Macaca fascicularis: one gene and its partner. The protein of the gene in region 2 purifies or fractionates together with the protein of the main gene of each other region. This does not show direct contact. Links are inferred from orthologs where the notes say so. Each region holds a gene or a part of one and is shown on either strand. Other genes may lie near its edges. The genes, in order: ASF1B and IPO4.

Region 1 (10,344 bases), on a different chromosome or scaffold from region 2:
TTAGCGCTTTGGGAGGCTGAGGCGGGTGGATTGCTTGAGCTCAGAAGTTCGAGCCCAGCCTGGGCAACACAGTGATACAAAAAATACAAAAAATTAGCCAGGCGTGGCGGCACGCGCCTGTAGTCCCAGCTACTCAGGAGGCTGAGGCAGGAGAATTGCTTGAACCTAGGAGGCAGAGGTTGCAGTGAGCTGAGATCACGCCACTGTACTCCAGCCTGGGCAACACAGTGAGACTCCATCTCTACTAAAAATATAAAAAGTTAGCTGGGTGTGGTGGTGTGCACCTGTAATTCTAATTTTTGTATTTTTAGTACAGACGGGGTTGCACCATGTTAGCCAGGCTGGTCTCGAACTCCTGACCTCAGGTGATCCACCTGCCTTGGCCTCCCAACGTGCTGGGATTACAGGCGTAAGCCACCATGCCTGGCCAAGAATCATCTTACATTTGCTGAAATGGCCAGGCATGGTGAGGTGCACCTGTGGTTCCAGCTACTTAGGAAGCTGAGGTGGGAGGATTGCTTAAGCCCAGGAGTTCAAGTCCAGTCTGGACAACATAGTGACACCCTATCTCTCTTTTTTTTTTTTTTGAGACGGAGTCTCGCTCTGTCGCCCAAGCTGGAGTGCAGTGGCTCGATCTCGGCTCACTGCAACCTCCGCCTCCCGGGTGCACGCCATTCTCCTGCCTCAGCCTCCCGCGTAGCTGGGACTACAGGAGCCCGCCACCATGCCTGGCTAATTTTTTGTATTTTTAGTAGAGACGGGGTTTCACTGTGTTAGCTGGGATGGTCTCGATCTCTTGACCTCGTGATCCTCCTGCCTCAGCCTCCCAAAGTGCTGGGATTACAGGCATGAGCCACTGTGCCCGGCCAACACCCTATCTCTTTTTTTTTTTTTTTTTTTTTTTGAGACGGAGTCTCGCTCTGTCACCCAGGCTGGAGTGCAGTGGCCGGATCTCAGCTCACTGCAAGCTCCGCCTCCCGGGTTCACGCCATTCTCCTGCCTCAGCCTCCGGAGTAGCTGGGACTACAGGCGCCCGCCACCTCGCCCGGCTAGTGTTTTGTATTTTTTAGTAGAGACGGGGTTTCACCATGTTAACCAGGATGGTCTCGATCTCCTGACCTCGTGATCCGCCCGTCTCGGCCTCCCAAAGTGCTGGGATTACAGGCTTGAGCCACCGCGCCCGGCCCACCCTATCTCTTTTAAAAAAAAGAAAAAAAAATCGGGCTGCAGTGTTGTAAGTAGCGACATATGTGTATGATTGCATTTCTGAATATAATCTTTCTTTAGAATTATACATGGGACACAAATCACCAACACAGCACGAACTCATAGCTACTGTGTACAGGACACAGCTGTACACATGAGGTGTGTATCTAACCTTCTGAGCAATGTCAAGGCAACTCAACTGTGTTCCATGTTATCTCTCTGCGCTAACTTCACAAGCTAGTCCCTGTACAAGACATACCTCCACTGTGTGTGTGTATGTATGTGTGTGTGTACATATATATATAAATGATAAGACTAAAGACACGTACATGATTACTGTAGCTGAACTAGCTAAAGAGTCTGCTTCCTGCTTTTTTGTTTTTGTTGTTGTTTGAGACAGTCTTACTCTGTCACCCAGGCTGGAGTGCAATGGCGCAATCTGGGCTCACTGCAATTTCCACCTCCCGGGTTCAAGCGGTTCTCCTGCCTCAGCCTCCTAAGTAGCTGGGATTACAGGCGCCTACCACCCTTCCCAGGTAACTTTTGTATTTTTAGTAGAGGCAGGTTTTCACCACATTGGCCAGGCTGGGCTCAAACTCCTGACCTCAGATGATCCGCCTGCCTTGATCTCCCAAAATGCTGGGATCACAGGCGTGAGCCACTGTGCCTGGCCTGTTGTTGTTTTTTGAGACAGAGTCTTGCTCTGTCACCCAGGCTGGAGTGCAGTGGCACAACCTCAGCTCACTGCAACCTCTGCCTCCCAGGTTCAAGCAATTCTTCTGCCTCAGCCTCCCGAGTAGCTGAGATTATAGGCACCCGCCACCAAGCCTGGCTAACTTTTATATTTTTAGTAGAGATGGGGTTTCACCATGTTGGCTGGGCTGGTCTTGAACTTCTGACCTCAGGTGATCCACCTGCCTTGGTCTCCCAGAATGCTGGGATTATAGGCGTGAGCCACCGTGCCCAGCCTGTTTTTTTTTTTTTTTTTTTGCCTTTGTTCATAATCAAAGATCAGTCCTGCTGCCATAACAGCTTTGTTAGTTCTGGGTCAGAACATCTGGCTTCTATGACTTACTCAACCAGTGTCTGTTGAATTTCTCAGCTAAACATGGAAGCATCTATTTCCAGATGTGGAAGATAAAAGTACAAAGGGGGCTTGAGGCCCTTGAGAAATAGGAGTCACTCAACTGGGGCTTAGGAGTTAGGGTGGTTTTTTTTTTGTTTTTGGGTTTTTTTTTTTTTTTTTTTGAGATGGGGTCTTACTCTCTCACCCAGGCTGGAGTACAGTGGTGCAACCATGGCTTACGGCTTACTGCAGCCTTGACCTCCTGGGCTCATACAATCCTCCCATTTCAGCCTCCTGAGTAGCTGGGACCACAGGCACATGCAACCAAGTCCCATTAATTTTTTGATGTTTCTGTAGAGACAAGGTTTTGCTATGTTACCCAGGCTGGCCTAAAACTCCTGGGCTCAAGAGAGCCTTCTTCCTTAGCCTCCCAAAGTGCTGGGATTACAGGAATGAGCCACCTCGCACAGCTGGATTGGGGGTTTTGTCAAGATTTTCAGTTGACACTGCTGAGAGTGAGCCAGATTCTCTTTTTCATGGAGAGGAGGCCAGAAAGAGGCAGAAAGCAAGCTGGCAGATCAGTCACAGAGAGCCCTAGGACTGGAAGAGCCAGGATTTCTCACTTGAGTTTCTTGAAGGAAAAGCTTTATCATCCGGGTGCAATTAACAATAGCATTCCCTGGCCGCGTGCTTGTGATTCAAAGTGTAATCCCAGCACTTTGGGAGGCTGAGGCGGGCAGATCACTTTCGGTCAGGTTTGAGATCAACCTGGCCAACATGGTGAAACCTCATCTCTACTAAAAATACAAAAATTAGCCGGGCATGGTGGCTCAAGCTTGTAATCCCAGCTACTTGGGAGACTGAGACCACAGAATCGCTTGAACTCAAGAGGTGGAGATTGCAGTGAGCTGAGATCGCGCCACTGTACTCTAGCCTGGGTGACAGAGTGAAACTCCATTTCAAAAAATAAATAAAATAAAATAATAATAATAATAATAGCATTCCCCTTCACTGTGTTTTGAGTATCCTGATTAGGCAATAAATTGTGTGGTCATTCCTATCTATGCTCCACCTCTGAAATAGGGAATCCTTCTTCCTTTCTTTCCCTGGATCGGAGCAAAGATAAAGAACTTAGATTCAAAACTTCAGTGCCAATATTTCTACAAACTGGCTGGGTGACCCTGGATAAATCACTCCATTTCTATTAAAAGATGACCAGCAGAGGCTGGGCACGGTGGCTCATACCTGTAATCCCAGCATTTTGGGGGGCTGAGGCGGGCAGATCACCTGAGGTCAGGAGTTCGAGACCAGCCTGGCTAACATGGTGAAACCGCATCTCTACCAAAAACACAAAAATTAGCTGGGCGTCATAGCAGGCACCTGTAATCCCAGCTACTCGGGAGGCTGAGGCAGGAGAATTGCTTGAACCCGGGAGGCGGAGGTTGCGCCACTGCACTCCAGCCTGGGGGACGAGAGTGAGACTTCGTCTCCAAAAAAACAAAAAAAGGAGCAGCAGGTTGAATTTAGCCTTTCTGCCTCTAATTCTATAAATAAGTAAAGTCACAGGGCAGGGGTTTCCTAGGAGAAGTACCAGATAATGACCACACAACCATTTTTAAATGCAAGGAACACAAACAGGCTGATTGAAACCTGATCTCCTGCCGCCTGGGAGCTGGGAATCCCTCAACCTATTACTTCCTTCCATTTCCTCCTGGCTTTTAAATTAAATCTTATTCCACAGTGTCATTCTACACTTTATTTATTTATTTACACGCTGCCCTGTTCCAGAAAGGATTTAACGCGGCTTATTCTATAGTTAGCCACAAGTAGACTGCTTAATTTAAAAAGGAGCAAGACAGACCAGGGAGAGAGAGACCCACTGGCCTACCCGAAGCACATCCACATCTCACTCTATCAGCCCCAAGCTAGTCCAGGTGACCAGCTTTGAGGGCCAAACATCCACCTGCCCCCGAAAGGCACTAGTTAGCACATCCTGGCTTCACAGGCCCCCAGATCGCTACCTCCTCGGCTACTGCCTTTTCTCTTTTAACCACCAAGTAGAAAAATGGCCTAATGGAGTACTTCTTTCTGAAAGCAGGACTTGCATTTTAGTGGTGCCAAGGCTCCCTGGGTGACCTTAGATTTTGGGATTTGTACAGGCCTTGACTTGAAAGGTCTTTTGCGCTTTGTGGCTCCTGTCTTCTCATCTGTGAGATGAGAGCCATGTCCACCTTTAAGTCACACAGATTAACAAGTACATCTGCAGAAGCACCTTGGAAAAGATGTACAGGAGGCTGTGACCTCCGGGCTCCAGCTGACTGTTTGAAGCTGGAGCCTGTCACAGCTCAGCCCAACCCACTCACCCTCCAGACTAGGTCAGACCATCAAAAGCAATGGAAGCTTGGCACTGATTATCCAGCTATATTAAAAAAAAAAAGAAAAAAAAAAAAGACCGGGCGCGGTGGCTCACGCCTGTAATCCCAGCACTTTGGGAAACCAAGGCGGGTGGATCACTTGAGATCAGGACTTCGAGACCAGCCTGGCTAATGTGGTGAAACCCTGCCTCCAACTAAAAATACTAAAATTAACCGGGCATGGTGACAGGTGCCGGTAGTCCCAGCTACTCGGGAGGCTGAGGCAGGAGAATTGCTGGAACCCGGGAGGCGGAGGTTGCAGTGAGCCGAGATCGTGCCACTGCATTTCAGCCTGGGCAACAGAGCAAGAGTCTGTCTCAAAAAAAAAAAAAAAAAAAGAAAAAGGAAAAAAAGAAGAAAGAAAAAGCGAGGGAAGAACTGCTGTAGTAACTCAGTTGGAAACGGGTGGGCAAACCTGGAGAAGCAGCTAATACCTGCCTGGCTATGCCAGCCCTCAGATCGCAGTGTGTTTATCCAAGTCCACAGAAGAGGGTGGGGAAGGGGAGCTGGAGAGACCAAGTTCCCCTCAAAGACGGTAGCATCCTTTCCCAGGGGGAGCTCAAGCATAGCAGGGGTTGGGCCCCAACGAAGGAGGAACCAGGTTCCAGGGTATGTGCAATGGCAGAAAAGCAACAGCAACTGGTGCGGGTGGGGTTGTTGAAATATTGGCAGGTTGGGGAGGGGATTGGTGGGAGACAAATGGGAAGATGGGGGCGAGGGCGGTCCTGAAAAGGGGTTGAGGGGTTTTCACAGCGAAAAACGGTTACTGGTGGGGAGCGTCTTCACGGTGAGGAGGGAAAGGAGCTTGCGTGAGAGATCTCCATAGGGAAAATGGCAGATGGCTGGGATTTCCCCCGGGGAAAATGGGAAGGGGCTGGACATTCGGAGTCTCCAGAGGGAAAATGGGAGGTGTGAGTATCTCACTAAAGAGGGAATAAGTGGGCAAAAATGGGTGGGTGGCTAAAGCGCGGGTCTTGCCACAGGGAAATCACGGTGGCTGAAGATCTCCGTGGCTTAAGAAATGGAGGCCAAGAAGATCTCTCCATGAAAACGGGTACCTAGGAAGACCTCCAGATTAAAAAGATGGATGAGGTTTCCCACGCGGGAAGTGGGGCTTGACTGGGGTTAATCTTTATGGGGAGGTCGGGGCGGGCAGTGGGGGAAGAGGTAACGGGGAGGTCCGAGTTAGCTAGCTGGGGGTCTCCACCCGGGAGGTCAAGGCGGGCAGTGGGAGAGGAGGTCACGGGGAGGTCCGAGTTGGCTGATGGCGGGGAGTCTCCACCCGGAGATCCGGATTGGCGGAAAGGGGACGAGGGGTTTCATGGGGGAGATCAAGTTGGCCATGGGAGCGCTTCTCCAAGGGGAGGCCGGGGTCGGCCCGGGGGTGGGGGTCCCCGCACGGGCCCAGCCTCACCGTCCGCCAGGGCTTCACTGCACTCGAAGCTGATCTCGAACCGGAAGGGGCTGTGGAAAGGGCTCGGGTTCTCCAGGACCGCCACGTTCAGCACCGACACCTTGGCCATCGCCTCGCCTCGCCTCGCCTCGCCTCGCCGCGCCGCGCCGCGCCGCAGCAGGGGCAGGGGCAGGGGCAGGGGCTGTGGCTGTGGCTGTGGCGGAGGCCGCGCCTGGGTCCGGTGAGTGGGGGGGCGTCAGTGGGGTACGGCAGACCAAGTCCACTCCCGCCTCTTCTCTCCGCGGACTGAAGTGCGCACCTAAACCGCGGACCGCCTTCAAATAGCCGGCCTCCGCCCTCTGGCCAATCACCGCCAACGCTCCCCTGGCGGCGCGCGCACCCCCTCAGCCAATCCTGGAGCGCCAGTCGGCGCGCGCCCAGACTCCCCGGACCAATCAGCGGAGCTCCCTCTCCGCGGCGTGTGAGGAGGGCGAAACCATCTCCAGGCTTCTTAGCGTGTCCGCTGGGAACCAATCCCCAGCGTCTCCGACTCGGATGTCAACGGCGGGAGTGGACGGAGTCAGAGCGCCGGACTCCTTCTGCCCAATCCTGAGGGTTCCCGCACCGGCGTAGCCCGCCCCTCGCCTCGCTTTTCCGGGAGCTGCATCCCGCACCGCGCAGCGCCGCCAACCGCCGAGCGGTGGCGCGCGGCGCTCGCTAAAGAAGGCGGGAAGGGCGGTGCTCGCACCCTCAGTGATTGGCAGGAGGGAGTGGGGCGGAGATAAAGAGGGTTTTCTGAGAGTTGATTGGCTGGATTGGTAATGGTGCCGGGAGCAGAAGGAGGCTCAGCTGGGGATTCGCTGGAGAGAAGCGGAAGTCGAGCGCCGCCGCGGTGCTGGCGAGTGTGAAAAAAGAGGAGGAGGGTTGCGCCCTCAGCGTCTGTCAACAGGTGAGCGTAGTCTGGAGCTTTTCTGAGTGGCTCCTGACCCTTAAGGTCCAGCGGCCCTGGAGTCCGTTGTGAACGTTGCGAACGTTCGGAGTGGCGGTCACGCGGCGCCCTGGGACCTCGGGAGTCCAGCCCGGTTCGGATCCCGCTTTCGCCCACGAGGGGTTCGAATCCCGCTCTCGCCCCCGAGGGGTTTGGATCCCGCTCTCGCCCCCTCAAGGGCTCTTGGAAGGTTTCAAGCATACGGTACTGAAAATGGGAGTTTCAGTTCGGGGGCAGACCAGTGTTCGAGTCCGGGCTCTGCTACTCAGCTCCTGAGGCAGCGTCTCTCCATTCAACGGGGGCAGTGGCAATTCCCTGACATGATTCATGACCGCACAATACATCCGGAAACTTCTCTCCGCCGCATCCCGTCGCCCCCGGCCTGGGAGACTCCAGGTCGCAGAGTCTCTGCCCCCACGGGCGATCAGCTCTACCCAGTGGAAAAATAATGCCAGCCGCGCACCTAATTTTACATTTTTTGGAAACCACTTTTTTTTTCTTTGAGACGGAATCTCGCTCTGTCACCCAGGCTGGAGTGCAATAGCGCGATCTCGGCTCACTGCAACCTCCACCTCCCGGGTTCAAGCGATTCTCCTGCCTCAGCCTCCTGAGTATCTGGGATTACAGGTGACCACCACCACAACCAGCTAAATTTTTTTCTGTATTTTTAGTAGAGACCGGGTTTCACCTTGTTGGCCAGGCTGGTCTCAAACGCCTGATCTCAAGTGATCCGCCCGCCTTGATCTTCCAGAGTGCTGGGTTTACAGGCATGAGCCACTGTACCCAGCCATATCTTTTTTTTTTTAATTTAAGATTTACTTTTTTTTTTTTTTTTTTTTTGAGACGGAGTCTCGCTCTGTCGCCCGGGCTGGAGTGCAGTGGCCGGATCTCAGCTCACTGCAAGTTCCGCCTCCCGGGTTTACGCCATTCTCCTGCCTCAGCCTCCCGAGTAGCTGGGACTACAGGCGCCCGCCCCTGCGCCCGGCTAATTTTTTCTATTTTTAGTAGAGACGGGGTTTCACCATGGTCTCGATCTCCTGACCTTGTGATCCGCCCACCTCGGCCTCCCAAAGTGCTGGGATTACAGGCGTGAGCCACCACACCCGGCCTAGTTTTTTTTTTTTTTTGTATTTTTTAGTAGAGACGGGGTTTCACCGTGTTAGCCAGGATGGTCTGGATCTCCTGACCTCGTGATCCGCCCGTCTCAGCCTCCCAAAGTGCTGGGATTACAGGCTTGAGCCACCGCGCCCGGCCAAGATTTACTTTTTTTAAAAAAAATTAAATTTTAGAGGCTGGGCGTGGAGGATTTCTTGAGGCCAGGAGTTCAAGATCAGCCTGGGCAACATAACAAGACCTCATATTTACAAAAATATAAAAGAATAAGCCAGGTGTGGTAGTGCATACCTGTAGTCTCTGCTACTCCTGAAGCTGAGGCAGGAGGATCTCTTGAGCCCAGGATGCTCCAGCCACTGCACTCCAGCCTGAGTGTCAGAGTGAGATCCTGTCTCTCAAAATTAAAATTAAATTTTAGGCTAGGCGCGGTGGCTCAAGCCTGTAATCCCAGCACTTTGGGAGGCCGAGACGGGCGGATCACGAGGTCAGGAGATCGAGACCATCCTGGCTAACATGGTGAAACCCCGTCTCTACTAAAATATACAAAAAACTAGCCGGGCGAGGTGGCGGGCGCCTGTAGTCCCAGCTACTCGGGAGGCTGAGGCAGGAGAATTGCGTGAACCCGGGAGGCGGAGCTTGCAGTGAGCTAAGATCCGGCCACTGCACTCCAGCCTGGGCGGCAGAGCAAGACTCCGTCTCAAAAAAAAAAAAAAAAAAAAATTAAATTAAATTAAATTTTAGAGGGCCGGGCGCGGTGGCTCAAGCCTGTAATCCCAGCACTTTGGGAGGCCGAGGCGGGCGGATCACAAGGTCAGGAGATCGAGACCACAGTGAAACCCCGTCTCTACTAAAAATACAAAAAATTAGCCGGGCGCGGTGGCGGGCGCCTGTAGTCCCAGCTACTCAGGAGGCTGAGGCAGGAGAATGGCGGGAACCCGGGAGGCGGAGCTTGCAGTGAGCCGAGATCGCGCCACTGCACTCCAGCCTGGGCAACAGCGTGAGACTCCGTCTCAAAAAAAAAAAAAAAAAAAAAAAAAAAAAAAAAAAAAAAAATTAAATTTTAGAAAAGAAAGTTCAGTTTAGCTGTCTTGATAGCCACAGTTGAGTGCTCCTGAACCCCTGTGACAAGTGGCTCCTGTATTACTGGACAGTGAAGGTCAAAAACACATTTGACCAGGTCACTTCTCAGGATGAGAGCATTGTCTTCGAAACTATGCTTTGTCTCCTGTTAACTACCCAGCTCCAATTTCAAACCAGCCTAAGTAACCCTCTTTTTGTTAAAAATCTGACAAGTCACTCCCAGTGCAAAGCTCTGCCCAGAACCTCTTCTTCTGGGCTCTTGGCTGGCTTATGCCTTCTCGTCATTCAAGTCTCTGTTCAAATGTCCTCTCCCCAGAGAGGGCTTTCTAAGGGTGCCCTGGACAGTGTTCAAAATCACAGGCCATAAGCCTGAATAGCACTTATCAAAGGCACTAGTATTTCTTACCTAGTCACCTCTGGAAACAATCCAGTTCCTGTGGGATTTTTTTTTTTTTTTTTTTAAACAGAGCTCTGTTTCCCAGGCTGGAGTGAAGTGGCATGATCATGGCTCACTGTAACTTGGAACTCTTGGGCTCAAGTGATCCTCCCACCTCAGCCTCCCAAGTAGCTGGGATCACCAGTGCGTGCCACCATGCCTGATTTGTTTTACTTTTTTTTTTTTTTTTTTGAGAGGGAGTCTTGCTCTGTCACCCAGGCTGGAGTGCGGTGGTGCGATCTCGGCTCACTGCACCCTCCTGCTTCTGGCTTCAAGCGATTCTCCCACCTCAGCCTCCTGACTATATGGGACTACAGGCACACGCTACCTTGCCTGGCTAATTTTTGTATTTTTAGTGAAGATGGGGGTTTCACCATGTTGGCCAGGCTGGTCTCAAACTCCTAACCTCAGGTGATCCACTCGCCCCAGCCTCCCAAAGTGCTGGGATTACAGGCATGAGCCACCATGCCCTGCCTGTTTTACTTTTTAAATTTTTTGTAGAGACAGGGTCTCGCTGTTGCCCAAGCTGCTCTTGAAACTTCCGGCCTCAAGCAGTTCACCTATCTTGTCTTTAAATGCTGGGATTACAGCGCCTAGCCCATTTTTTTTGGTGTGTACATCTCACATTAAGAAAAATTTTTTTTAGCT
Region 2 (10,389 bases):
TCCTCTTCCTCCTCCTCGTCAGTATCCTGACAGGCTGTCTACAAGAAGAAGCAGCTCAACTTAGCCAGAGCTTTCATGCCCCTTCTCTTTTCATCGGGGTATGGGGGTGGACTTGTAGCCAGTCCCCAACCTGGGCCTGGCACCTCTCCTTCCCGAAGCCCACCTGCCCTGCTCACCTTCCTCTGCAGCACAGCCTTGAGCATGCTACAGAGCTCAGCCAGGCGCCCAGGGGGCTTCAGAGTGAGGGTCCCACAGCTGCGGAGCACCCCTGTCAGGGCCTCCAGCACGGCCATCACCACCTGGCGCTCCCGCTCCCTGTTCACTGAATGCATGTAGGATGGCACCACTCGGGCCAGGGCAGCCTGCAAAGCTGGGGACATTATTGGCTGAAGCACTGGTCAGGCCCTGCCGTGCCCCAAGAACCCTCAGCCTGGCCCAGCCTCTCCTTCTCACCAGCAGTGTTGGGTTCTGAGGGGCAGCTTTGACAGGCCTTGTGCAGTGCACAGCAAAACTGACCCAGAGCCTCATGGGCTGCCTTCCGCACATTCAGGTGAGGGCACTGCAAGATGAGGAGGGGCGGGATGTGTCTGCTGTGTGCACTGTGAACACAGGGCCCCCAGCCTGAGAACCCCACCCACTCTACCCACTGGCCCCCTCACCTCCAGCAGTTTAAATACTTCTTCAAAGACACTTTCCATATATGGAAGGAAGGCCACACTACAGAGAGAGACACAGTCATGGGTAAGGGGCCCCCAGGCAGGGTTTTCAGTGCCAGGGAAGGGCGAATGCTCACCTGGTGTTCACAGAGATCTCCCCTAGGGCAGCACAGGTGTCTTCCTTCTCATCGAAGAAGGCGTTCTCCACGCTGTACCTAGAGTAAGATGGGGAGGCAGTGGTGATCAGGCACCAAGAGGAGCAGATCCAGCACTAGTCCCCTGGTCTAAAACCAAAGTCTAGATTCCTGATCAGAAGAGCACCCCTCCGCACCCTGAGATCTCTGAGTCATCCTCTTCTTCCACATCCTCATCCATGAGCTCCTCCTCTTCTTCCCCATCACTCTCATCGTCAAACAGAAGGAAGGAGCTGCTCCCGTCATACTGAGGCTGGAGTGGAGGCATGGCAAGGACTTTGGCTCAGCTAGGCCCAGGAGATAAATCCCATTGCAGGGCTGGCCTGGCCCAGCCCACCCTCTGCTCACCACAATGCCCTCGGTAGAACGCAGTGACAGCAGCATGAGCGTGGTGATCTGTTCCAAGTGGGGTGCCAGGCCCTCGCCCATCAGACCCGATAAGGCGGCAAATAGGCTGTACCTGGTCAAAGCAGGCAGAAGAAGCTGTATGGTCCTGCTTGCTACCACCAGACAGGATGGGGGAGCCCGGGAACACCTGGCTATGGTCCGAACCAGAGGACTAGAGTCTGGGGTGGGGATTCCAGTGGGCCCAGTGGGCAGAAAGGAGGGGTGGGGACAAGGGCAGAGGCAGGGTGAGGGATCACTCACGTGCAGCGCCGCAAGTCAGGGTCGTCTACCTGGTTGCAGAGGCCCAGACCCAGCTGGCAGCATTCCTCAGCCAGCGGCCTCATGGGCTCCCCCACCGCTCGTGCCAGCACTCCCAGTGTCTCTGTGGGAGCATGGGCTCCATTAGCACCAGGAGGTGGAGGTGGGCTATAGGACCAAAGGTGGTAGCTGGGAGGGATTCAGATATCCCCCCCTACCCCTTGGTACAGGGTGAAGAACACCCCCTTCGATGAGAAGGAAGACATCCGTGCTCCCGTGGGGGCAATCTCTGTCAACACCAGGTGAGCATCGGCCCTTTGCTGGCACTGGGATCCCCACCTGGGAGCCTCTCACTCACCCAGGCTCTGGATCTGCACAGGCTGAAGGTCCTCACGGCCTGTTAACAGGAATTCCCGCAGGTGCTCCATGATGGCAGGGAAGTAGGGCAGCAGCGAGGCCTGGGCAGCTGTAGCTGCAGGATGGAAGGACAGAATCAGAGCTGGAAAGGGCAGGGACCACCAGCCACAGGGCCTTTGGGTGAACCCCACATCCCTGCCTCCTGCCTCTCCTCACCAATGGCTCCTACGGCGCTCACAGCCAGCTCCTTGGCCCGGGGACTGCTGGGGCTCCTCAGAGGCTGCAGCATGCATTCCATAAGCTCCGGAAGGTAGGGCTGCACTTTGGGCCCTGTGGGAAAGGATGCTCCTCTATCAACCAACCCAGATCTCCTACCTGCATGCCCACCTCCCTCCAGGCGGAAACCCCTTTGTGGCGCCATCACACACTTTCCCCCACCATAGGCAGCAATGCAAGGAGATGTACATCCTGCGCATTCAGCCAAAGCCGCTGCCTCATCCCCCTCCCCCAAGCTCCCCACTGCCATCACTACCTAAGTTCTCCACGAAATTCTCCAGGGCATAGCAGGCCTTGGCTAGGTGGTGTGTGTGTCCAAGAGGCACCGACTTCAGATAGGCGAGGAGCAGTGGCATCACCTCCCTTGAATAGCTGCTGATATGGGGCTGGGGGAGGGAGCAAGCAGGGCTTGAGTCAGGTTCACCTGCAGGGCACGTACAAGAGTGCGACGGCAGCAGGGATGCTTGAAGAGATGAAAGGTGAGGGGAAGGGGACATTCAAGTGGTGGCTCCCACATTCAGCCTGGTTCACCTGTAGGTTTTCTGAGAACTGGCCCAGGGCAAATAGCGCAGCATTGCGTACAACTTGCGAGGGGTCCTCCAGGCCCTTGCACACGATCTGCAGCAGTGGGGGCAGCAGTCTGGATAGGGCAGGACAAGAGGACACAGGCTGAGGAGCTATACCTGACAGCCCTAGGCTGACCTGTTCTCTTCATTTTCCCTGGAAAAAACAAGGCTTTTCCTGTCACCAGAGGGTGGGCAGCAGCCCCTGATCCCTACAGCTGGGAAGCCATGTCATTTATCTTCTAAGCCAGGACACTTTTGAGAATGGGGGAAAATGCTGTTGATAAATAAGCTTGAACAACAAGCGTAAACCATGACAGCCACGGTCCTCCCCGTGGGCAACCCTCACCCTGGGATAGGGGAATAGATACCTCTGCCTGATGTGGTCACCAGCTCCGTCAGACAGCACGGCCAGCACCAGGAGTCCAGCCTTACGCTGGTATGGGCTCTCACTCCGCAAGGCCTCTTCCAGCATGGGCATCTAGGGAAGCATGTGGCACGCTTCTGAAACCCCAGAAAGAGCCTGCCCATTCCTGTGGAAATAGACCTTCACACCTCCCAGGGTCTAAACGTCCTTGGCCTCAGGGGACTAGGCACACTTGGAGGTAGGGACACCAGAAGGACAGAGCCACACTTACCAGCTGGGGACACAGCTTGTCGGGGGGCAGGTGTAGCGCCAGCATGTCCACAACCTAAGATAGGATGGGGAGACTTACTTTGCTCGACTCCATCTCTGCCTCCCCAACCTCCCACAGCCACCTAACACCTTCCCCCTCTGTCCTGCCCCACATCTCACCTGTACAGCAAAATGCTTGGGAGTCTCCCCCATCAGCTCAATTTCCAACTCTTCCTCTTCTGAATCCTGGTCCTCAGGATCCAACTGGCCTGGCAGGGGCTCAGCAGCCATAATGGGGAAAAGGGTGTGTAGCAAGGGTGGCAGGAGACGATTCTTCAGTAAGGCCTTGACAGAGAAGGTGGAACAGTGTCCCTAAGAATCTGCTCCCAGGATGGGCTCACATTAAAAATTCCAGTCTTCCAGGCCATAAAAGGTCCGACAGAAAATTCCCAATCTCCCAGGCAGGAGCTGGGGTGAGGCTAGGCCAAGGCTTGAACCCCCACAGTACTTTAGATACCCTGAGATGAACTGAAAGTCCCAGGAGTGAGACTAAGGGTAGAGAGTGGGTGGGGTGATGTGTGTCAATGGGCACTCACTCACCTTGCTCTTGACTTTGACCAAGAAAGTGAGGCAGCAGAGAACACGTACGCGTATTGCATTGCCCAGGGCCACATTTCTAGCCACCTGTCCAGAGAATAATAAGAATCAGAGACAGGGAAGGAAAGTCCCAACAGAGCATGTAGCAGGGGCCATGTCCACTCCAGGCTCACCTCCAGGCAGAATGTGAGGACCTCAGAGAGGTAGGGGGTGATGATGGGCACCTCTGACTCCAACAGTTCATCCAAAACCTCAAGGGCCTCACAGGCCTTTGCCTGACAAACAAGGCACAAGGTTACCATGCTCTTCTTCAGTGGGCCAAGCTGGTCACTTTTGCACTCTTCTTCCAACAGAGCTCCTGCCCACCTGTCCTCACCTCATCTATGGGGATCAGAGTCTGCACAGCCACGATCAGCTTGGGCACCAACATCCGAGAGAGAGGCTGAGGGACACATCACAGACAGCATGATGCAGCCTAATCTCACACCCCAGCAGCTGACAGCTTCCTCATAGCCTGAATTGCGAGGAGGAGCCCAGACATAATAGCCAGGCCCACCTACAGCATCCCCTCTCAATTGTCAGGAAGGGCCACAGGCAGGTAAAGAATCCAAAGCAGTTTTGTAACTTTTACAGATGAGGACATGAAGGCCTGAGGAAAGGGAGTCAAAGATACGAGGGCCCACATCTCACCACGTCTTCAGTGCTGAGGTAGGGGGCCATGGTGGTCAGAGTGCGCAGGGAGTAGAAGAGCAGCCCAGGAGAGCCCACCTCACCAAGAGTCTCATTCAGAAGCCGAAGCAGCTCCCGGTGGTGGGGTTGGAAGGCCTCGGGCCGGGAGGTCACCACCACACTTAGCAGCAAAAGCCCCATCTGTCCAAGAATAGAGGATTGGAGAGCAAGCTTACATGGTCTATCCCACCTCTTAGTCCCTCCCTCCTGCCAACCATGTGATGGTACCTCTCTCTCTGGGCTGTGGGGGCTGTGGGTACTGTGCTGAAGAAGCTGCAAAAGCTGTGGCCAGGCCTCCAGGCCTTCCTTTCGAAAAATGGTGGCTGAAAGCTGGGCCAGGCTGAGGCTCACACAGTGCCTGCAAACAGGAGAGATCTCCTCTATCACTCTCCAATACCTTCCTCTGCACACAGTGGCCAGGCACAATGGGGCAGCCAGGAGAGAAACTTTCAGGAGGTGTGGGCACAGGGTCTTTACCAAGTTGGGACACATGAGACAGCAGCTCAGAGGGAGCCCAGCAGCACTGCGGGCATGTAATCTGGTAAGTTCAGTCTTACTAGCCTGAATTTCAGTCTTATTCTTCTGACTTGAGTTTGGCAGATCATAGTCACCCTTCCTCAAGAACTTCAGTCTTCAAAACAGCCTTAAAATTTTCGCTCCACCTTGGGTCTAGAACTGAAGTCCCTGCCCCACAAGTCCCAGCCTGGAACTGAAAGGGAAGGCAGAAACCCCGACAAGGTCGTCAGGATCCCGAGAAAAGGGGGTAGGTACTTACTCTGTTTCTCTCTGCAGGGCCGTCAGGATCAGGGACTTGAGGCTGGAACACAGTGGGCAGGTGTTTGGTACACAGACTGCCCAAGAAAAGTCTCCGCCTGGCCCCGCCCCAACCCAGGCCCAACCCACCTCTCCCGTTGCTCCGCCGCCAGCCGTCGCCAGCGGGTGTTCAGTCGTCTGCGGGTCAGCACCGCCGCAAACTGGCGGATCTAGGACGAGGAAACAAGCACGTGGGGGTCCGGGCAGGAGGGTGCTGAGCGGACCGCAGGGGGCGGATATTGGGGCTTGACCAGTGGCGTACAGTGGGAAGCTCGGAGGGGAGAGTCAGGGGTCTCACCTGGGGGTCGGCCGCCGAGGCCAGCAGGTCGCAGAGAGCCGGCAAAGCGGCGGGGGCCCGAAGAGCGATCTGGAGCTGTTCCGTGGCCTGGGGGGAAGCTAGGGGTGAGAGTCGGGTCTTTCCCGCAACCTCCCGCTCGCCCTGGCCCGGTTATGCCTACTCCCGTACCCGACGGATGCGCTCGGTGTCCGGCAGCAGCAGCTCCCGTAGGAGCTGCTCCAGGCCGGCGGGCTCCATGGCAGCAGCTGAGCCGCCGCTACTGGGCCGAAAAGGGGAGGGGGAGGGACAGCACGTGGAGGCGCTGACACCCACTTCCGGCGGAAAGGGCGTTGCCACACGCCCCGAGGGTTGCCAAGGTGATTCAATTCACTTCCCACAAAGAGGTCCGACTCCTCCACTTCCGTTATGCTGAGCACCGGCTGAGTCGCGGAAACCCAGCTCTGGCAATGTAGGTTCCCCACGCCGGGAGTTCCCAAGTTGGGTTGGAGAACTCAAGCTTCGGGCATTCAGTGGCCAGCTCGGCTTTCTAAAGGACCGTGCCCTTAACCGCGGGGCTGGAGTTCCTATATCCAGACCAAAACCTCCAACTACATGATCCTTTTTCTTAACAAATTTTATTTTGATAATTGTAAAAAGAAAAATCAGGACCAAAACTAAAGGCAACTTAAAAATTTCAAATATATACTCCTTATGTAATAGAGATTTATAATTTCCAGGCCCTCTCTGGGGAAGGAAGGCCCAAAGGGCAAAGGGGAAGGCAACAATGCCATCACACAATTCAGTCAATCAGAAGAGAAGCTGGTAGGAGAGCTCAAGGAGGCATGAAGAAAGGGAGAGAACAGCAATACTTCTGCCACACAGAACTCAGTCCATCTTGAGGTTAACATAGATATACCGGATGAACTTTAGGGAAGAAAAAAAGGAGATGGTGCCCAGCATGAGGAAGAAGACATAACCAGTGAGTAAGGAGTAGCCAAAGAACTCTACTGTCTGTACTGCCCCAGACATGTTGGAGCGCCGGGCATAATAGAAAACTGAGTAGAGAAAGATGAAGAGGCCAGTGGAGCCAACACTCAGCACAGATCGCCACCACCAGCGGTAATCCTCCCCAGACAACTGGAAGTAGGTGAGTGCAATGGAGATGCAAGCCCCCACACTCAGCAGGATGGCGAAGACAAAGAAGAGGATGCCGTACAAAGTGTACTGCTCCCGACCCCATACTGTGGCAAAGATGTAGTACAGCTCTACAGAGATGGCACTGTGAAGAAAAGAGATGATACACAGCATTAAAGGGCTGTGCACAGTGGCTGGGCTGAAATCCAGCCCCCCACCCTCTCCCATGTTGCTGGGTCATTGTGAAAAGTGAGTTCACTCCACTCTCTGCCCCAGATCTCCTGGCTTCATGGGGATTTTTTGCCTATGATTAGCTGCTCTCACTTCAAGAATATCTTCCCTAATAGATTGAGGGCAGGGATCTTATCCATTTTACTTTCCACTTCATTCTTTGCCTGGCACAAAGAGGTATTCAACAAAGTAAATGGATCATCAAATGGGCTTTAAACCCCACATGATGTCCACAGACACTAAAGTCAGAAACCAGGAAGGTGAAGGGGGAGATGTCTCTGGAGGCCCTTATAAGTGAGACATTCTTATATCTGAACTGATTCAAGCTCAGTCCTGCTTGGAGATAGGAGGAACCATTTAATGATCTCTGAATGGTACCACTGAACCAGGGATCAGCGGGTTGGGTTAGGGTACTGGATGAGTAGGGACAGGAAAAGTTGAGGTCAGGAACCTGAGAGTGATAGCCATGGAATAAAGGGAGGATACCTGAAAGGCAGGAAGCCTCCAACAGTCATGTGGATGACAGTAGACTTGTACCAGGGCTGGGGTGGAATCTCCCGGGCGATGTTCTTGGTGCGACAGGGTGCATCAAAGGGGCTGGCGTTGTTCTTCCCGAAGATGCCTCCAATGACAGTGAGGGGAAAGCCCACCAGCAGCCAAACCGTCAGAAGCAGCAGGATGGTTGTGGCTGGCAGAGCCTGTGTCGAACCATTGGCCCAGTGCACTGAGTTCACCACACTCCACGTCAGGAAGAAAGGCACTGCAGGGATGGCCCCCGGAGGGAGGGTCAACACTAGGAGCTACATCTCTAAGGGTACCCACTTATATCCAGGACCAAAAGGGGAGGGGGGTGAAGCAGCCTGCCACTCTTAACAGCAGACTCATGCTCCTGGATGTCCCTACAGAGTCAACTGCCTTCACTTCCACCCTTTCAGATCCCGTTACTCTTTTTTTTTTTTTTTTTTTTTTGAGACAGAGTCTCACTCTGTTGCCCAGGCTGGAGTGCAGTGGCACGATCTCCGCTCACTGCAAGCTCTGCCTCCCGGGTTCACGCCATTCTCCTGCCTTAGCCTCCCGAGTAGCTGGGATTACAGGCATGTGCCACCACACCCGGCTAATTTTTTTGTATTTTTAATAGAGACGGGGTTTCACCGTGTTAGCCAGGATGGTCTCCATCTCCTGACCTCTTGATCCACCCACCTCAGCCTCCCAAAGTGCTGGGATCACAGGCCTGAGCCACCGTGCCTGGCCTCTTTGCTCTTAATCTTACCACCACCACCCCCCATCCCGGTGTCATTAAGGATCCAGTTAGCTACTACATAATCTGAGAGTAACACAAATCCACCTGCCTCCAGGGGCCTGTCTTGCCTTGGAGTTGGTAATTCCTAGCATGAGACATTTCTTTGGATTAAGGCCCTGTTTTCAGAAAGCCTTGGTTCAAATATAAATGTGATGGGATATAAATCAGACACATAGGATTGGGAACAAAAAGGGTTCAGAACAGGGACTACTACTGCCTTTGAAAGGGCAATCTGGTTTGAAAGCTTAGAGTGGGCCCACCTTCAAAATAAAAATTAAAGGGTGTTACTTTAGTGTAATGGGTGAGAATACAAGTCAGACTGCTGAAACCTGGTTCACTACTTTTTAGGAGTGTAATCTCAGACAAGTTACTTAAGCAGCCTTTAGTTCAGTTTCCTCATCTGTGGAATGGAAATATTACCTACTTCACACAGTTATTGCTGAGTGCTTACCACACTGCCTAGGACATATTATTTATTTTTATTTTTTTGAGACAGAGTCTCGCTTTGTCGCCCACGCTGGAGTGCAGTGGCGCCATCTCGGCTCACTGCAAGCTCTGCCTCCCGGGTTCACGCCGTTCTCCTGCCTCAGCCTCCCGAGTAGCTGGGACTACAGGTGCCTGCCACCACGCCCGGCTAATGTTTATTTTTGTATTTTTAGTAGAGACAGGGTTTCACCTTGTTAACCAGGATGGTCTCGATCTCCTGACCTCGTGATCTGCCCACCGTCGGCCTCCCAAAGTGCTGGGATTACAGGCGTGAGCCGCCGCGCCCAGCGAGGGCTTTATAATGTTAAACTATTCAAAAGAAGTGCATTCTTGTCTTTTTTGGTTTTCTTGTTTCTTTTACAATATTCCTTCCCTTCAAGCCTCATCCTGACTCTATCCCAAGTTCTATGATGTGTTCTTTTTTTTTTTGAGACAGTCTCACTCTGTCACCCCAGCTAGAGTGCAGTGGTGCAATCATGGCTCCCTGTAGCCTCAACCTCCCAGGCTCCCTAGACTCAAGCAATCCTCCTGCCTCAGCCTCCCAAGTAGCTGGAATTACAGATGTAAACCACCATGCCCAGCTAATTTTTTGTTATAGAGACAGGGTCTCACTATGTTGCCTAGGCTTGTCTCAAACTTTTGGACTCAAGTGGTCCTCTGGCCTCGGTCTCCCAAAGTGCTAGGATTACAGGTGTGAGCTACTGTGCCCAGCCACAATGTATTCTTAATTCCTAAGTCCAGAAAGGCCCACCAGGGAAAGGAATGTCCTCACCAGAGAAGAGACTGGTGGTGAGAATGATGTTCCACACCCAACGCTCGCCTCCAATCTGCCGGTAGAAGTGGCTGGACACGTAGCCAGAGATGCAGCAGGTCAGGGCATACAACAAGATGGCTGCCGAGTTAATGGCCCCATGACGGTGCACATTGAACATGCCCAGCAGTGCCATGACAATAATGCCTGCAGGATGGTAGTGGAAAGCCCATGTTAGGCCTTACCTGTGTCTCTTCTAGCAATTTCAGAGGAATCAGCCCCCCTTCTCCCAGACCCAGGGCCTCCAGCAAAACAATCTCCCCCAGTTTTGCTATCCAGAAAATCTACAATAGAATACGCGCATCCTTGCTAGGGCCACCTTATCCCTTAGGTCTGCCCCTCTGGATAGAAGATCCACAGACCTTTTCTGAACAAACTCCATACCTAGTTCTACCCCATGAGATAAATCCCCAATTCATTTTTATCACCTCACCAGTGCCAAGGGCCAGGAACTGGGCGCCCACGCCAAGCACAGCACAGAGCAGACCACGGTATGGGGGGAAGCGGAAGACATCTGTATGGATAATTTTCCAGCCATTGTCACCTTGGTCAAAGTCATCACCAGAACCTGCAGAGGTGGTCTCCTCATCTAAGTTGTACCGAGCCAGGTCATTCCGAAGCACACGCATTAGAATGACAGCCACAAAACCCACCAGTAAAAACACAAGCACCATGGAGTTGATGATGGACAACCAATGGATTTC

Evidence for each region.
Region 1: the proteins of IPO4 (region 2) and ASF1B purify together in Homo sapiens (affinity purification with mass spectrometry; 5 studies listed by BioGRID and IntAct, counting the BioPlex papers as one, with this or other methods). This does not show direct contact. The link is inferred for Macaca fascicularis from reciprocal best matches to the Homo sapiens genes IPO4 and ASF1B.

Annotation. Positions count from the first base shown.
Region 1 is NC_088393.1:14,549,966-14,560,309, forward strand, and holds the start of ASF1B (histone chaperone ASF1B), read right to left. Parts: upstream 6,395-10,344; 5' UTR 6,210-6,394; coding exon 6,101-6,209; intron 1-6,100. UniProt on the Homo sapiens protein: Histone chaperone that facilitates histone deposition and histone exchange and removal during nucleosome assembly and disassembly. Cooperates with chromatin assembly factor 1 (CAF-1) to promote replication-dependent chromatin assembly.
Region 2 is NC_088381.1:91,999,905-92,010,293, forward strand, and holds the start of IPO4 (importin-4), read right to left. Parts: upstream 6,011-10,389; 5' UTR 5,982-6,010; coding exon 5,913-5,981; intron 5,832-5,912; coding exon 5,745-5,831; intron 5,617-5,744; coding exon 5,537-5,616; intron 5,451-5,536; coding exon 5,409-5,450; intron 4,992-5,408; coding exon 4,862-4,991; intron 4,775-4,861; coding exon 4,595-4,774; intron 4,347-4,594; coding exon 4,281-4,346; intron 4,180-4,280; coding exon 4,078-4,179; intron 3,992-4,077; coding exon 3,908-3,991; intron 3,653-3,907; coding exon 3,488-3,652; intron 3,384-3,487; coding exon 3,330-3,383; intron 3,173-3,329; coding exon 3,063-3,172; intron 2,769-3,062; coding exon 2,660-2,768; intron 2,515-2,659; coding exon 2,385-2,514; intron 2,183-2,384; coding exon 2,069-2,182; intron 1,968-2,068; coding exon 1,854-1,967; intron 1,620-1,853; coding exon 1,499-1,619; intron 1,311-1,498; coding exon 1,199-1,310; intron 1,104-1,198; coding exon 988-1,103; intron 872-987; and 9 more. Other genes in the region: TM9SF1 (transmembrane 9 superfamily member 1), read right to left, coding at 6,609-7,002, 7,575-7,848, 9,647-9,832, 10,119-10,389. UniProt on the Homo sapiens protein: Nuclear transport receptor that mediates nuclear import of proteins, such as histones, RPS3A, TNP2 and VDR. Serves as receptor for nuclear localization signals (NLS) in cargo substrates.